Linked DNA regions of Saccharomyces cerevisiae S288C. The gene in region 1 interacts genetically with each later gene. Each region holds a gene or a part of one and is shown on either strand. Other genes may lie near its edges.

What was found.
Region 2: mutations in MAS2 (region 1) and FMP32 together harm fitness more than expected from each alone (negative genetic interaction), as found in Saccharomyces cerevisiae (one large-scale study listed by BioGRID).
Region 3: mutations in MAS2 (region 1) and ALG2 together harm fitness more than expected from each alone (negative genetic interaction), as found in Saccharomyces cerevisiae (one large-scale study listed by BioGRID).
Region 4: mutations in MAS2 (region 1) and ERG8 together harm fitness more than expected from each alone (negative genetic interaction), as found in Saccharomyces cerevisiae (one large-scale study listed by BioGRID).

The regions. Positions count from the first base shown.
Region 1 is NC_001140.6:157,172-161,112, forward strand, and holds MAS2 (mitochondrial-processing protease subunit alpha), read right to left. Parts: upstream 2,022-3,941; coding exon 573-2,021; downstream 1-572. Other genes in the region: MYO1 (myosin 1), read left to right, coding at 1-281; THR1 (homoserine kinase), read left to right, coding at 2,267-3,340; VMA16 (H(+)-transporting V0 sector ATPase subunit c''), read left to right, coding at 3,673-3,941.
Region 2 is NC_001138.5:41,117-43,952, reverse strand, and holds FMP32 (Fmp32p), read right to left. Parts: upstream 1,139-2,836; coding exon 515-1,138; downstream 1-514. Other genes in the region: phosphomannomutase SEC53, read left to right, coding at 1-325; GTPase-activating protein RGD2, read right to left, coding at 1,388-2,836.
Region 3 is NC_001139.9:379,243-382,980, forward strand, and holds ALG2 (GDP-Man:Man(1)GlcNAc(2)-PP-dolichol alpha-1,3-mannosyltransferase), read right to left. Parts: upstream 2,030-3,738; coding exon 518-2,029; downstream 1-517. Other genes in the region: deubiquitination module subunit SGF73, read left to right, coding at 1-340; MRH4 (ATP-dependent RNA helicase), read right to left, coding at 2,281-3,738. UniProt on the Saccharomyces cerevisiae protein: Mannosylates Man(2)GlcNAc(2)-dolichol diphosphate and Man(1)GlcNAc(2)-dolichol diphosphate to form Man(3)GlcNAc(2)-dolichol diphosphate.
Region 4 is NC_001145.3:710,383-714,243, forward strand, and holds ERG8 (phosphomevalonate kinase), read left to right. Parts: upstream 1-1,933; coding exon 1,934-3,289; downstream 3,290-3,861. Other genes in the region: ESC1 (Esc1p), read left to right, coding at 1-1,727; FMP42 (Fmp42p), read right to left, coding at 3,549-3,861.

The DNA.
Region 1 (3,941 bases):
AGAACTCCCAACAAACAGATGTAATAGAACTAGCGAATAAAAATAGAAGCGAATTTGAGGAAGCTACTTTGAAATATGAGGCTCAAATCTCTGACTTAGAAAAGTACATTTCTCAACAAGAGCTTGAGATGAAAAAATCCATTAGAGATAATTCTTCTTACCGCGACAAAGTGCAGGAAATGGCCCAAGAAATTGAATTCTGGAAAAGCCGTTATGAATCTACCATGATAGGCTCGAAAAATATTGATAGTAACAATGCACAGAGTAAAATTTTCAGTTAACGAACTTTTTTTTAAAAATTTGGAAGACTTTATATCCTTTATTTAAAAAAATAATGATGAGATGTTTTGTATATACAGAATGAGAATATGCATTATTAACAGAAAAAGACGACACGAGCGTTATATACTAAGTGGCATGAACTCTTTCACCCCGTATCCTTCGATAGTAGTCTTAAAGGTGGTACATAAAATAAAGAAAATAACCGATTCAATAGATAAGCAGCGGAAATAAAGTCTTTTTCCTATCTTGAAATCTCCAAAATAAAAGTAATAAAGTACTGCTAAAGTTGTTCAAAACCAACCCTTCTTCTTGGGACTATCGTTTTTGGAGGAGGAGCTGTTACCCAATCCATATGCCTTCAGTACATTTTCCACATCTCCAAAGGATCCTCTGTCTCCTTGCATTACAACAGTAGCTCTACCCTTACCATTGCCAGCATTATTTACATTTCCCGTAAATATCATTTCGGCAACACGTGAGATATCATCTGGCTTCAAATCTTCGATCTTACTTATCATTTCGTTGACTGGGATTTTGCGACCATGCATGAGAACTTGTCTGCCCATATCTTCCAATTCTACCAGTTTAGACTCTAGGTTCATTAGTAGTGAAGACTTCAACTGATTCTTGGCCCTGGAGACTTCGTCTTCAGTTAACCTCAAATCCTTATTAGCAAATGTATTATACATTTGCTGTGCAATTACCTCAACCGCTTGAGGAGCTGCCTGCGGTATACAAGATAATGAAATACCGAAAATACCAGAATCCGAATAAGAATGGTTGAACGCAACACAATTTTCAACAAAGTAATACTGGTTCAAAACGTGGGTATACAAACGAGAATACATCCCCTTTCCTGGCCCACCAGCACTGAAAGAACCACCACCTCCAAGTAAAGTTTGTAATGTTGCTAAAGCATAAATGTCTGGATGATCTATAGGGAGACCTTCAAATCCGATCTGGATGTGGAATAATTCTGGTAAATTCCCAAACACTGGTGCTGGTGGAATACAACTTTCCCCGCCCGTATATTGGGCAACTTTTTTGGTGATCGGAGGGTGTGTAGATTGCCAGTCACCGAGATACTTTTCTGTAAGCTCTAATGCCTTTTCGTGAGGAACACCAACAAATGCCGCAACAGTATTTTCTGGGGTGTAGAATTTATTTCTGTAGTCCAATAAGTAGTATTTAGAAATAGAAGGAATGAGCTCTCTAGGGCAGATTAAAGGGGACCCCAAAGTTTCTCCGGAGTATGCTGCTGTGTGCAACAGCTCAGGTAATACCAATTCTGGCTTCATCCAAACTTCATCGATTTCATACTCTGCCGACAGCTTCTGTTCTTGCAGTTCTTGCTCAGTAATCTTAGGGAACCTCACAGTTTCTGACATTAATTGAAGCATTTTACCCACATCCTGGTTGAACACAGAAGCCTGATACATCAAATTTTCTCTAGACGAGGTACACTGGTAATTCCCACCCAGTAACTCCAACGTCTCTGCCATTGCTCGGCCCTCGACGTGTTCGGTTGATTTGAATGCTAGTCTATCCAAGATATGTGTACAACCCTTCAAATTCCTACCTTCAAACCGTGATCCTGCGTCGATGTATAGGCCTAAGGCACTAAAGTGTCCAGGAGTATTTGATGTCGCCACTTTCAGTCCATTCGCTAGTGACGAAAGCTTAAAATTATCGGTTCTAGCGATGTTAGAGTACAACCTCTGAACGCCGTTCCTTAGCATCTTTTGTTATTAATCAGCTCTCTGCTTTGCATTAATTTGACCACCTGCCCTGAAACACCTTTCTTCTAGTCCACCTGTGTAGGCTTTTTCACCTGAATTGTTCATTCTCGATACGCCCTCACGCCGGATGAAAAATTTGTGCAAGAGTCATCATCTCGAAAAGATATGGTGATAAAAACAAGTGTACTTCTAACCTGCCTAATGGTTATAACAGTAGCATAAAGTAGATATACGGACTACAGAAAATGGTTCGTGCCTTCAAAATTAAAGTTCCAGCTTCTTCCGCCAATATCGGCCCTGGTTATGATGTTCTTGGTGTCGGTCTTTCTCTATTCTTGGAGTTAGATGTCACCATCGACTCCAGCCAAGCTCAGGAAACAAACGACGATCCCAACAACTGCAAGCTGTCTTACACTAAAGAAAGTGAAGGCTATTCTACGGTCCCATTGCGTTCTGATGCTAACCTGATTACCAGGACTGCGTTATATGTGTTGCGTTGCAACAATATTAGAAACTTCCCCTCCGGAACCAAAGTTCACGTCTCCAACCCAATCCCACTTGGCCGTGGATTGGGTTCCTCTGGTGCAGCAGTTGTGGCAGGTGTTATTTTAGGTAACGAAGTGGCCCAATTGGGTTTCTCTAAGCAACGTATGTTGGACTACTGTTTGATGATTGAACGTCATCCAGACAACATAACCGCTGCTATGATGGGAGGCTTTTGCGGTTCATTCCTAAGGGACTTGACCCCACAAGAGGTGGAAAGACGTGAGATTCCATTGGCTGAGGTGCTTCCAGAACCTTCTGGTGGTGAAGATACCGGTCTGGTTCCCCCATTACCTCCCACCGATATCGGTAGACATGTCAAATACCAATGGAACCCCGCCATTAAATGTATTGCGATCATCCCACAGTTCGAGTTGTCCACCGCCGACTCCAGAGGCGTTCTTCCAAAAGCCTACCCAACCCAGGACTTGGTTTTCAATCTACAAAGATTGGCCGTCTTGACCACAGCTTTGACCATGGACCCACCTAATGCCGACTTAATCTACCCTGCTATGCAAGATCGTGTCCACCAACCTTATAGAAAGACATTGATCCCAGGTCTCACGGAAATCTTATCATGTGTCACCCCATCCACATACCCTGGCCTATTGGGTATCTGCTTGTCAGGTGCAGGCCCAACTATCTTGGCTTTGGCCACTGAGAATTTCGAAGAAATCTCTCAAGAAATTATCAACAGGTTCGCCAAAAACGGCATCAAGTGCTCCTGGAAACTACTGGAGCCTGCCTACGATGGTGCTAGCGTCGAACAGCAATGAAATGTCCTTTACCCCTAGTATACTGTGTTAAATACTATTGTAGACCATATACATACTGTAATTGACCGTTAACGGTTATTATGCTGAGTCTTCTTCCGTTACCCGTCTTTTCTATCTATTTCGAAAATAAAAAATAAGTGAAAAGAACGAAATTTCACAACCATTAACAATACAGATAATGAATCGAAGTTGTTTTCAGTCTCAATTCAAAAGACTCATAGCCAAGGCCAGTTGATTGATTTAGCCACAAGTATCATTCAACGTAATATCCACAGGTGTTTTTTTTCTCACCGGAAGGCGAATAAAATACAGGAGCTAGAGCGTGTAAGATAATGAACAAGGAATCTAAAGATGATGATATGTCCTTGGGGAAGTTTTCCTTCTCCCACTTCCTATATTACTTGGTGCTAATAGTAGTAATAGTGTACGGTTTGTACAAGCTTTTCACTGGACATGGATCCGACATTAATTTCGGGAAGTTCTTGTTAAGGACATCCCCTTATATGTGGGCCAATCTTGGTATTGCCCTTTGTGTAGGCTTAAGTGTCGTGGGGGCAGCATGGGGTATTTTCATTACTGGTTCATCCATGATTGGTGCCGG
Region 2 (2,836 bases), on another chromosome or scaffold:
AAGAAACGAATTCGAAAGATACGATAAGGAACACCAAATCAGAGCCAAGTTCGTTGAAGCTTTGAAAAAGGAATTCCCAGACTACGGTTTGACTTTCTCCATTGGTGGCCAAATCTCTTTCGACGTTTTCCCCGCTGGTTGGGATAAGACCTACTGTTTGCAACACGTTGAAAAAGATGGTTTCAAGGAAATTCATTTCTTTGGTGACAAGACTATGGTCGGTGGTAACGATTACGAAATTTTTGTCGATGAAAGAACCATCGGACATTCAGTACAATCCCCTGATGACACCGTCAAAATTTTGACTGAACTATTCAACTTATAGCTTTATTTCCAGGTTGCTACGTGATTATGCCATTTGTGATCCGTTTGGTGATTCTTTTTTATCCTTCTTATATAAATAAATATACTCTTACTACGTTATTGAATGTGTACTCTTACTGAACTGTGTTATACAAAACGTAAATGCAATTTTCAAGTACCAAGTCTAGCCCTTTTTCCTCGCTTGTCGCCACTATGTTAATAACCTCATATATGCTAATACAAGTGCAAATGTACCTGTACAGACACCTATCAGCCATTGCATGACTTGAGTCTTGACAGAATCAATCTGCATCTTCATATTGGTCACTTCTTGCTCAATTTTGGTGTCGATTTCTTTTATTTGCAGATCGTGATGACTACTTTCTTCCCTAATTCTGCCTTTTTCTAAGGACAGATCAAGTTTGAAACCGGCGTTTGTTTTGGTAATTTCTTCCCTTAGTTTGTTTCTTAGTTTCTCCAGATCGTTTTTCACACTTTCGTACTCGTTTTGAATATTGTGAAATTCACTTCTATCAGCACTCAATAGCTGATCTCTTAACTTTGCAAAATCAACACGTTGTTGATAGCTAAGTTGGGTCAATTTTTCTCTCTTTGCCAGATCCTGTGAAACATGATTAACCCCGCCCCTAATTGCATCTGTCATTATCTCTACTATTGTAGTTGCTTGATCCTCTTGAAATTTACCGTTCTCTATAAGTAAATCTTTAAAGTGGTTCGTATTGGGAATATGCACAGTTTCAAAGTCACTGCCCAGCAAAAAGGACGTTCTATGAAAGCAACGCCTTGCAGGCAATCCAACAATACGCTTGAGCATTTTATTCCGTTCTACCTTACTTTACTTATTACGCTCACTTGAAATGACTAATTACAGATCTGTATTCTTCATTATTTTTTATTTTTCTTATAGTTCCCTTCTTGCTTTTTCGTGTGTCCTCTATAACAATAATGTAAATAATTATATCTCCAATAAAAAAAGAACTTGAAACAGCTGCCTACAGTGAAAGAAAATGATGTACATATTTCCTTTTATATAAAATTATATACAAATCTATATCGCCTAGTCCTAATTTTTTGAATTTTGCCTTTTCAATTCGTGAAAAATCTGTTTCTTATGTGTCAGTAGATCATAGAAAATCTTAAAACCAATTTCATTATCATCGGTGATCTTTGACTGGATAATACAATTGGCAAATTCTTGTGAAATTGAGACGGTAAACTCATCTGCTACTTCATTACCGTTCTCTCCCATTTTCAGAATTTTAATTAATCTGTAAAAATGAGTTGTAATAGCGTCTAGTGTCGCTATGTGTGGTTTGCTTAGAGAGGACAGAGTAGTATAAAGGCCTCTTATTCTCTTGGTATCAAAGCCTTCTTCGTTGTCATCGTCCTGCTGATTCTCGGGAGATGATGTAGAATTTTGCAACGCAGTTTCAACTAAAGGTGGATAGTCAAGGTAAAGCACCCGAAGAATATCAGAGACATCATTGGGAATTAGTGGGTCTGGTAATTCTAATAAATAAATTTTAACAACACTGGCGATGGTGCTTGGCTCCAACTTGGACGTAGAAAGTATATCAAATATTTCCCCTTCGTTGTGGAACTGTTGTTTGTTCAATAGGTTTCGAAGCTGATGTGTTAAACTTAATTTCACCGAATCAGTCCAAATTGAAGTTCTTACTTTATCATTAGGTAAGTCAGGATATATTTTGTCCATATATGAGAATATCGAAGAAATTATCAACGGAACGACTTTCTTGTCTAGTCTACAACGAGTTTCTAGATCAACACCAAAGTTTTGAAATGAACCAGGATTGTAGTAATTATTATAAACAATGGCTTGCGGCTTGAAACTGCCCGTCTTGTACTTAACTAAAAGTTGCAAAAGGTCTGCAGTGGGATCAATATCGTTTTCTAGCGTGAGCATTTTATCTATGCACAGTCTTAACGAAGAAATCTTGTTACCCAAGGTAGAACAAAAATCTAGTGTCGCTTTCTTGATCGCATTCAGTCTATCGGACTCACATTTTTCCATAAACGACAAATGGTCAATCAACAACTCCTCAACCGAGCATCTCAAGGCATCCATCTTGAAGCACTCCTGGTAATACTTCTTATCTGACGCTGCAAGCGCATCCATCATTCTGAAAAGCGTCCTTTCATTATCGGATATATGCGGAGCTTGGATCTTCGCTGCCCCCTGGTCGTTACCAATCTTGGATTGAATAATTTCCTTTGCAGATGAACCATCCCAGTTGTTGAACCGGGATATTAAGGATTCACCAGTGGTAGGCTCCTCTGAACCGGGCATTGGCACATTGGCAAACATGTACGCGGTATTCTTCCATTGGTATTGAAATTTTTTAGAGTTGACAAATGTATTACCAACACCGTTGCAATATTTCAAAAACCCTAAATTCAACAAATCTTGGCCAAACGTTTCAGCTTGATCAATATCCTTTAACGACATGTGGTCAAGCAGAAACTTCGTTATTTCTCCACCATTGTTGGTGTT
Region 3 (3,738 bases), on another chromosome or scaffold:
ACTACGACAACAACAACTACAACAACAGAAGTTTGAAGCTGCTGCTTCATATTTAGCCAACGCTACCAAATTAATGCAAGAATCAAATCAAGATAGCCATTTATCTGGCACCCACAACAATAATAGTAGTAAAAACGGTAACAATAACCTCATGACGATGAAAGCCTCCATAAGCTCTCCCAATACTAGCGTAAATAGTATCCAATCTCCCCCTAGTGTCAACAGCGTCAATGGCTCCGGGCAAGGTGTATCTACCGGTATTAATGTCTCTGGCAATAACGGGAGAATTGAAGTAGGTATTGGAAATTCTGTGAACCCCTACAATGGCAGAATAAATTAATTGAATCATGCACGTTATCCAGCATGTTCACGAAGTGAGTAATAAAAAATTATTCGCCGAAGTAACATGTACACGTCTATGTTTGTGGACAAGTTACGCTATTTGCATTTAGAGATTTCTTCTCCAATGTAAATTATTTTTTCTTCGGGGGGTATACATTATTTATTTAAGTAGACATTATATTTCTTCATAAGGGTAGGAGAGAGCGAATACAAATGCCCAGTAAATTCCCCATAAGTAGTTCTTAAAATATAATACCATAAAAGTGGCCATAAATAGGAAGGGCCATGGATTATTGGGTAGAATTTTTATAAATGCCATATGCAAAATAAAATTAGAGAATGAAATACCGAATATTTCCCAAGGATAATACTTTTTTTCTTTCCATATGACTTTCTCGACGTTTTCTTCAAATGACTGAGTCATTGCTTCCCTAGAAAAGTATTTCTTGACTCTTAGCGGGCCATTCCTCTCAAAGTTCACAGAACCGTTCTGCAAGATCTTTCTGCTTTCATCAATTGCAGTAGCCCATTGAATAGGGACGGCAGGTTTTAGCCACCCAGTGGCAGAACTTTCATTTTCACCAGCAACGTAAGATTTGATAGTCTCCAAAGGACCTCCATTGTTTACTGCTAGTACAGGCTTACCTAATTTCATGGCTTCTAAAGGAACAATACCAAAGTGCTCATATGCTGGTGTATACAATAACATTTCGGTTCTTTCGAGCAGTAATTCTTTCAGAGATGATGAAATGGAAGTTAAAAATATAATTTTACTATTATTGGTTTTGAATGACTCTAAATCGGAGACGCGCTTTATTTCTTGGTAGTATATGGTTGTATGGGATAATTCGTATTCATCGGCCAGAGACTGTAGTTCCTTCAAGTACTCCACATTTTCTGCAACCCTCTCGTCATAACCACCGCAAATAACTAACTTAACGTTGTCATTGATTTGATCTTCAGATAACGCAAAAGCCTTTATAGCCAGCGCAACATCCTTTTTTTTCTCAAAACGATTTATACTTAGGTAAAATCTATCGCCTTCGTTAAACACTGTTTTGAAAAATTTCTTGTCAATATCTTCAATTTCGATTGTTGATAAATCCACGCATGGATAAATGACGTCTGGATCATTGGATAAATACTTGAACGTTTGGTGGAACGTATTCTTAGTGAAATTTGAATTTACCACAACAGTATCGGCAGCACTCACGGAAAACTGTTCTATTAAGTCAAATGGTAGTCTGTATATTTTCTTCAATAGCCCAGCTCTTTGAGCCAATAATTGGTCGGGGAAATGACAATAAAACATCAAAGTGGCAGAACTAAAGATATGCAGAAGCGGAATACATGTAGACAGTTGATCAATGATAATTAATTGGTACGCATTCACTTTTTTCTGTAGGATCAATTGAATAACTAAATAAAGCTGTCTAATTGTTGCGAAAACAATAAAAAAACGACCCAAAAAGTTTGTCGGTAAAAAATCACCATAAACTTCGACTTTTAATTGGCCGTTTTTAACTTCTTCGAAACAATGTGATTTATCACAGTGACTAGTATAGATGATTACACTATGTCCTTGTTGCTGTAGACCTAATGCTGCATCGACGACTAACCTTTCAGCGCCCCCAATACCTAGGTCTGGATGAATAAAAGCAATCGTTCTTTTATCCTTTTCAATCATTTTTGCTTGTCTAATCGACTCTTTTTTATCTGTCTTTACTACTGTATCTATTTCGTGACTTCTTAAATGGCGAACGTAATCTTTTGATGTTAAAATGAATACATCATTTATTTTGTTGTTCGCGCGTTCATCTAGCCAGGCACTTGTTTATAAAAAAAGAAGCTATACGCAAGGCTCTCGATCTATAAATTGTATCTGTGATTGTGACCCTTTCGTATATATGTTATAATATTTACAAGAATATACATTTATCATGATAATCTCTGGTGCTTTTTGATGATCTTTGGAAGAGCTTTAGCCCAAGATTTTGTTTTACTGTCAGTTAGCATAAATACGCGGCCGCCCTGTTTCATTCTAGCAGTTCTGCCCACTCGGTGTATCAGGTCTATTGACGTTTTGGGTACATCGTAGAGAACAACATTCCGTACACCTTTGAAATTGAGCCCTCTTGCCATGAGGTCGGTGGTTACGAGTACATGCAAAGACTTGTTACTGGGTGCGGTACCATTAGAATTTGTGTTTTTCAATTTGCCGATGACGATGTTGGAATCAGGAATTTCAAATTTCTTCAAGGAAGTGGGAGGTGAAGTACTCTGAGCAACCACCTCCGAAAGTGGTCGCGGTGGTGATAAAAAGGGCATAATTTTCTCGGATCTTTCTTCAAATGTATCTTCACCAGTTAAACCGATGGCATTATGACCGAATTTCTTATTCAATAGGTTAACAATTTCAGGAACATTCTTTTTTTCGTTAACAAAGATAATGCATCTTTTCTCGAACCCTGGTTCCGTGTCATCATTTGAAATAGCATATAAAGTTTGTGCCAATGCTTTGATCTTGGATCCCTTGAAAGGACTTAAGGCAGAATTTATAACTTTAAAGTCCAAAGCGAATGGTAACTTATGCAGTCTGGGTGTCATTATAGGAACCACTGTAGGAAATAGTCTTTGCATTGTTTTATTAAACTCTTGAGGAATAGTAGCGGAACAGAAAATAAGGTGATTAATGTTAGGAATTCTCTTTATTGCGGAGTGCGTTTCTTCAAGCCATGACCTATCTAGAAGTGTGTCAGCTTCATCTAGTACTACGAAACCCACTTTGGACAAGACTTTATCAGGTCTAGTTATCATTCTTATGGAGAACAGGTTCAGTAGTTTTCCCGGAGTAGTGACTAAAATATCTATTCTATTTTTAATGTTCTCTAATAAATCACGATATGATGTGGCCTTGTCCCACTTGAAAGAGTTTAAGCCTAACAAGGTTTTCGTCTTGGAAACAGTTTCGTATACTTGGTCAACCAATTCATGCGTAGGCACCAGTATGATGGACCGAATCAGAACGTTTTTTCTTAATGTTTCCCATAATTCGGGAGTTTCCAACTCCTGTCTTTTCAAATAGTCTATTAAAGGTATCAAGTAGGCCATGGTCTTACCTGAACCTGTCTCAGCGGCAATCGCATGTATTTGTAACTTTGGATCCATTAAATTTTTGGATATTCTCTTAATGGCCACTGTTTGAATGGGACTCGGTATTATATTTTCACTGGTTTTTTTCCTACTATCTTGTAGCTTCAGGGACTCTTTGGAAATGATTTCTTTCACAGCGTCTCTGACAGGTGGAAGTATAAGCAATTGGTCGAAATTCGATATTTTTTGAATGAGTTTATTCGTACTGTCCATATTCATCTCGACGTCTTTTTTCAATCCACC
Region 4 (3,861 bases), on another chromosome or scaffold:
ATACCAATATGCATGATCAGGTTAGCCAAGCTTGCTCTGATTCAGACCGAGACCAAGACTCCACAGCTGAAAAAAATGTTGAGGGATCTGCAAAACATAATTTGGACATTCGGGTGTCCAGTTCGGAAATTGAGTCTGTGGAACCATTGAAGCCAGAATCTGATCGATCAAATATTTTTTCATCCCCAATTCGTGTTATTGGAGCTGTAGTTAAGGGAGTGGGTAAGGTAGTCGACGTAGCTGAATCATTCGTGAAAAAAATTGATGTTATGGATTCTGAGAGTGATGATAACGTTGATATTGGTGATTATAATCAAGACATTTTTAACAAGTCGAATTCTACCGATGCATCTGTTAATATGAAAAGTGTAAGTAGCAAAGAGAGAGACAGCGATGAAGATGAAGCTGTCATACTCGGAGGAGTTACCGCAGAAGCACATAATGACAATGGTAATAATTCTCGTGTGATAAACATCGATCCCACGACAAACGGTGCTTATGAAGAGGACTCCGAAGTGTTTCGACAGCAAGTAAAGGACAAGGAAAATTTGCATAAGTCGGAAGAGCCGCTAGTTGAAGGTTTACAATCCGAGCAACATTTCGAAAAGAAAGACCACAGCGAGAATGAAGAAGAATTTGATACCATATATGGAGATATAACATCAGCAAATATTCACAGTAATGCCCCCGATGATATTAAGAGACAACAACTCCTAAAGAATCTAAGTGACCTAGAGAATTATTCTCAGAGGCTCATTGAAGATTCCAGGAGAGGAAAAAATCAAGAAGAATCAGACGAAGTTAATACAAGCCGTGAACGGGATCTCACGTTTGAAAAGTCCGTTAATGAGAAATATGCTGGAGCAATTGAAGAAGACACTTTTTCGGAGTTAGATATTAGCATTCAACACCCCGAACATGAAGAAGACCTGGACCTATCAAACAATCAGGAGAGGTCAATAGAAGAACTAAATTCAGAGCCAGAAGAAGCTGAGTTGTACGAATTGGAAATAGAGGGCCCTACAGAGACAGCAGCTTCTAGTAAAATGAATGATGATGAAAGGCAACGCGGAAATATACCGTCCACAGATCTTCCATCTGATCCTCCGTCTGATAAGGAAGAAGTGACAGATTCTTATCCCTATTCAAATTCGGAAAATATTACCGCTGAAAAGAGTGCGCCAACATCACCGGAAGTGTATGAAATATTCTCAGACACGCCAAATGAAGTCCCTATGGAAATTAATGATGAAATTCCCGCCACCACGCTTGAGAAACACGATAAAACCAATGTAACATCCGTTTTGGATGATAGATCAGAACATTTATCTAGCCACGATGTTGATAATGAGCCACACGATAATTCCATTAACATCAAAGTAAATGAAGGTGAGGAGCCCGAACATCAAGCAGTGGATATACCTGTTAAAGTAGAAGTTAAAGAAGAACAGGAGGAAATGCCTTCAAAATCTGTACTTGAAGAACAGAAACCAAGTATGGAACTAATCAATGATAAAAGTTCTCCAGAAAATAATAATGATGAGGAAACAAACCGCGAAAAGGACAAAACTAAAGCAAAAAAGAAAAGCCGTAAAAGAAACTACAACAGCAGAAGACGGAAAAGAAAAATCACAGAAGGCAGTTCTGCCGCATCAAATACTAAAAGGCGTAGGGGGCACGAGCCAAAAAGCCGTGGACAGAATACGCATCCAAGTGTTGACAAATAATCAAATTGTATACAGGAATATGTAGATAGTAATAATTATTGCGATGCGTTTTTCTATACGAGATCTAAAAGGAAAAAAGTTCGGTTTTAAGGCGGAGTTAACGTCATGTCGAATGGAAAGAAAGATTATATAAAGAATGGAAAAACAAAAAAGGTGAAAAAACATCTTGGAAGGCCTCATAATAAATCAATCGGCTGCCTCGAGAAATGTCAGAGTTGAGAGCCTTCAGTGCCCCAGGGAAAGCGTTACTAGCTGGTGGATATTTAGTTTTAGATACAAAATATGAAGCATTTGTAGTCGGATTATCGGCAAGAATGCATGCTGTAGCCCATCCTTACGGTTCATTGCAAGGGTCTGATAAGTTTGAAGTGCGTGTGAAAAGTAAACAATTTAAAGATGGGGAGTGGCTGTACCATATAAGTCCTAAAAGTGGCTTCATTCCTGTTTCGATAGGCGGATCTAAGAACCCTTTCATTGAAAAAGTTATCGCTAACGTATTTAGCTACTTTAAACCTAACATGGACGACTACTGCAATAGAAACTTGTTCGTTATTGATATTTTCTCTGATGATGCCTACCATTCTCAGGAGGATAGCGTTACCGAACATCGTGGCAACAGAAGATTGAGTTTTCATTCGCACAGAATTGAAGAAGTTCCCAAAACAGGGCTGGGCTCCTCGGCAGGTTTAGTCACAGTTTTAACTACAGCTTTGGCCTCCTTTTTTGTATCGGACCTGGAAAATAATGTAGACAAATATAGAGAAGTTATTCATAATTTAGCACAAGTTGCTCATTGTCAAGCTCAGGGTAAAATTGGAAGCGGGTTTGATGTAGCGGCGGCAGCATATGGATCTATCAGATATAGAAGATTCCCACCCGCATTAATCTCTAATTTGCCAGATATTGGAAGTGCTACTTACGGCAGTAAACTGGCGCATTTGGTTGATGAAGAAGACTGGAATATTACGATTAAAAGTAACCATTTACCTTCGGGATTAACTTTATGGATGGGCGATATTAAGAATGGTTCAGAAACAGTAAAACTGGTCCAGAAGGTAAAAAATTGGTATGATTCGCATATGCCAGAAAGCTTGAAAATATATACAGAACTCGATCATGCAAATTCTAGATTTATGGATGGACTATCTAAACTAGATCGCTTACACGAGACTCATGACGATTACAGCGATCAGATATTTGAGTCTCTTGAGAGGAATGACTGTACCTGTCAAAAGTATCCTGAAATCACAGAAGTTAGAGATGCAGTTGCCACAATTAGACGTTCCTTTAGAAAAATAACTAAAGAATCTGGTGCCGATATCGAACCTCCCGTACAAACTAGCTTATTGGATGATTGCCAGACCTTAAAAGGAGTTCTTACTTGCTTAATACCTGGTGCTGGTGGTTATGACGCCATTGCAGTGATTACTAAGCAAGATGTTGATCTTAGGGCTCAAACCGCTAATGACAAAAGATTTTCTAAGGTTCAATGGCTGGATGTAACTCAGGCTGACTGGGGTGTTAGGAAAGAAAAAGATCCGGAAACTTATCTTGATAAATAACTTAAGGTAGATAATAGTGGTCCATGTGACATCTTTATAAATGTGAAGTTTGAAGTGACAGCGCTTAACATCTAACCATTCATCTTCCGATAGTACTTGAAATTGTTCCTTTCGGCGGCATGATAAAATTCTTTTAATGGGTACAAGCTATACATACTAGGATGAGGATGGTACTGAGAACGATAAATAAACTTTCTAGATATATAACTTTATGTCATTTAAATATAAATAAAGTGCGTGTTAGCTTGAAAGTGTGCACTCAGATAGTTTGGTAGTTGGAGGACAATCCTCTTTCATTCACGGGCTTGGGCAAAATCTGAGATCGTATGTAAAATGTTAAAGTTAGTGAAAAAACGACTGTGAGGATTACCAGTGTAAGGTTTATTGGGAATGGATTCATGTTGAAAGTAGTATGTGTCCATTTGTCCAGTAAGTTTTGACTCATGTTGAAAATACCACAAATGCAGGACAATAACCCATAAACAGTACCAAATGTGTCAAATCCAAAAACTTTTGAAGAATAATCAGAAACAACTGTGTAATAAAATGGTCTGTACACTACCAGAAGTACT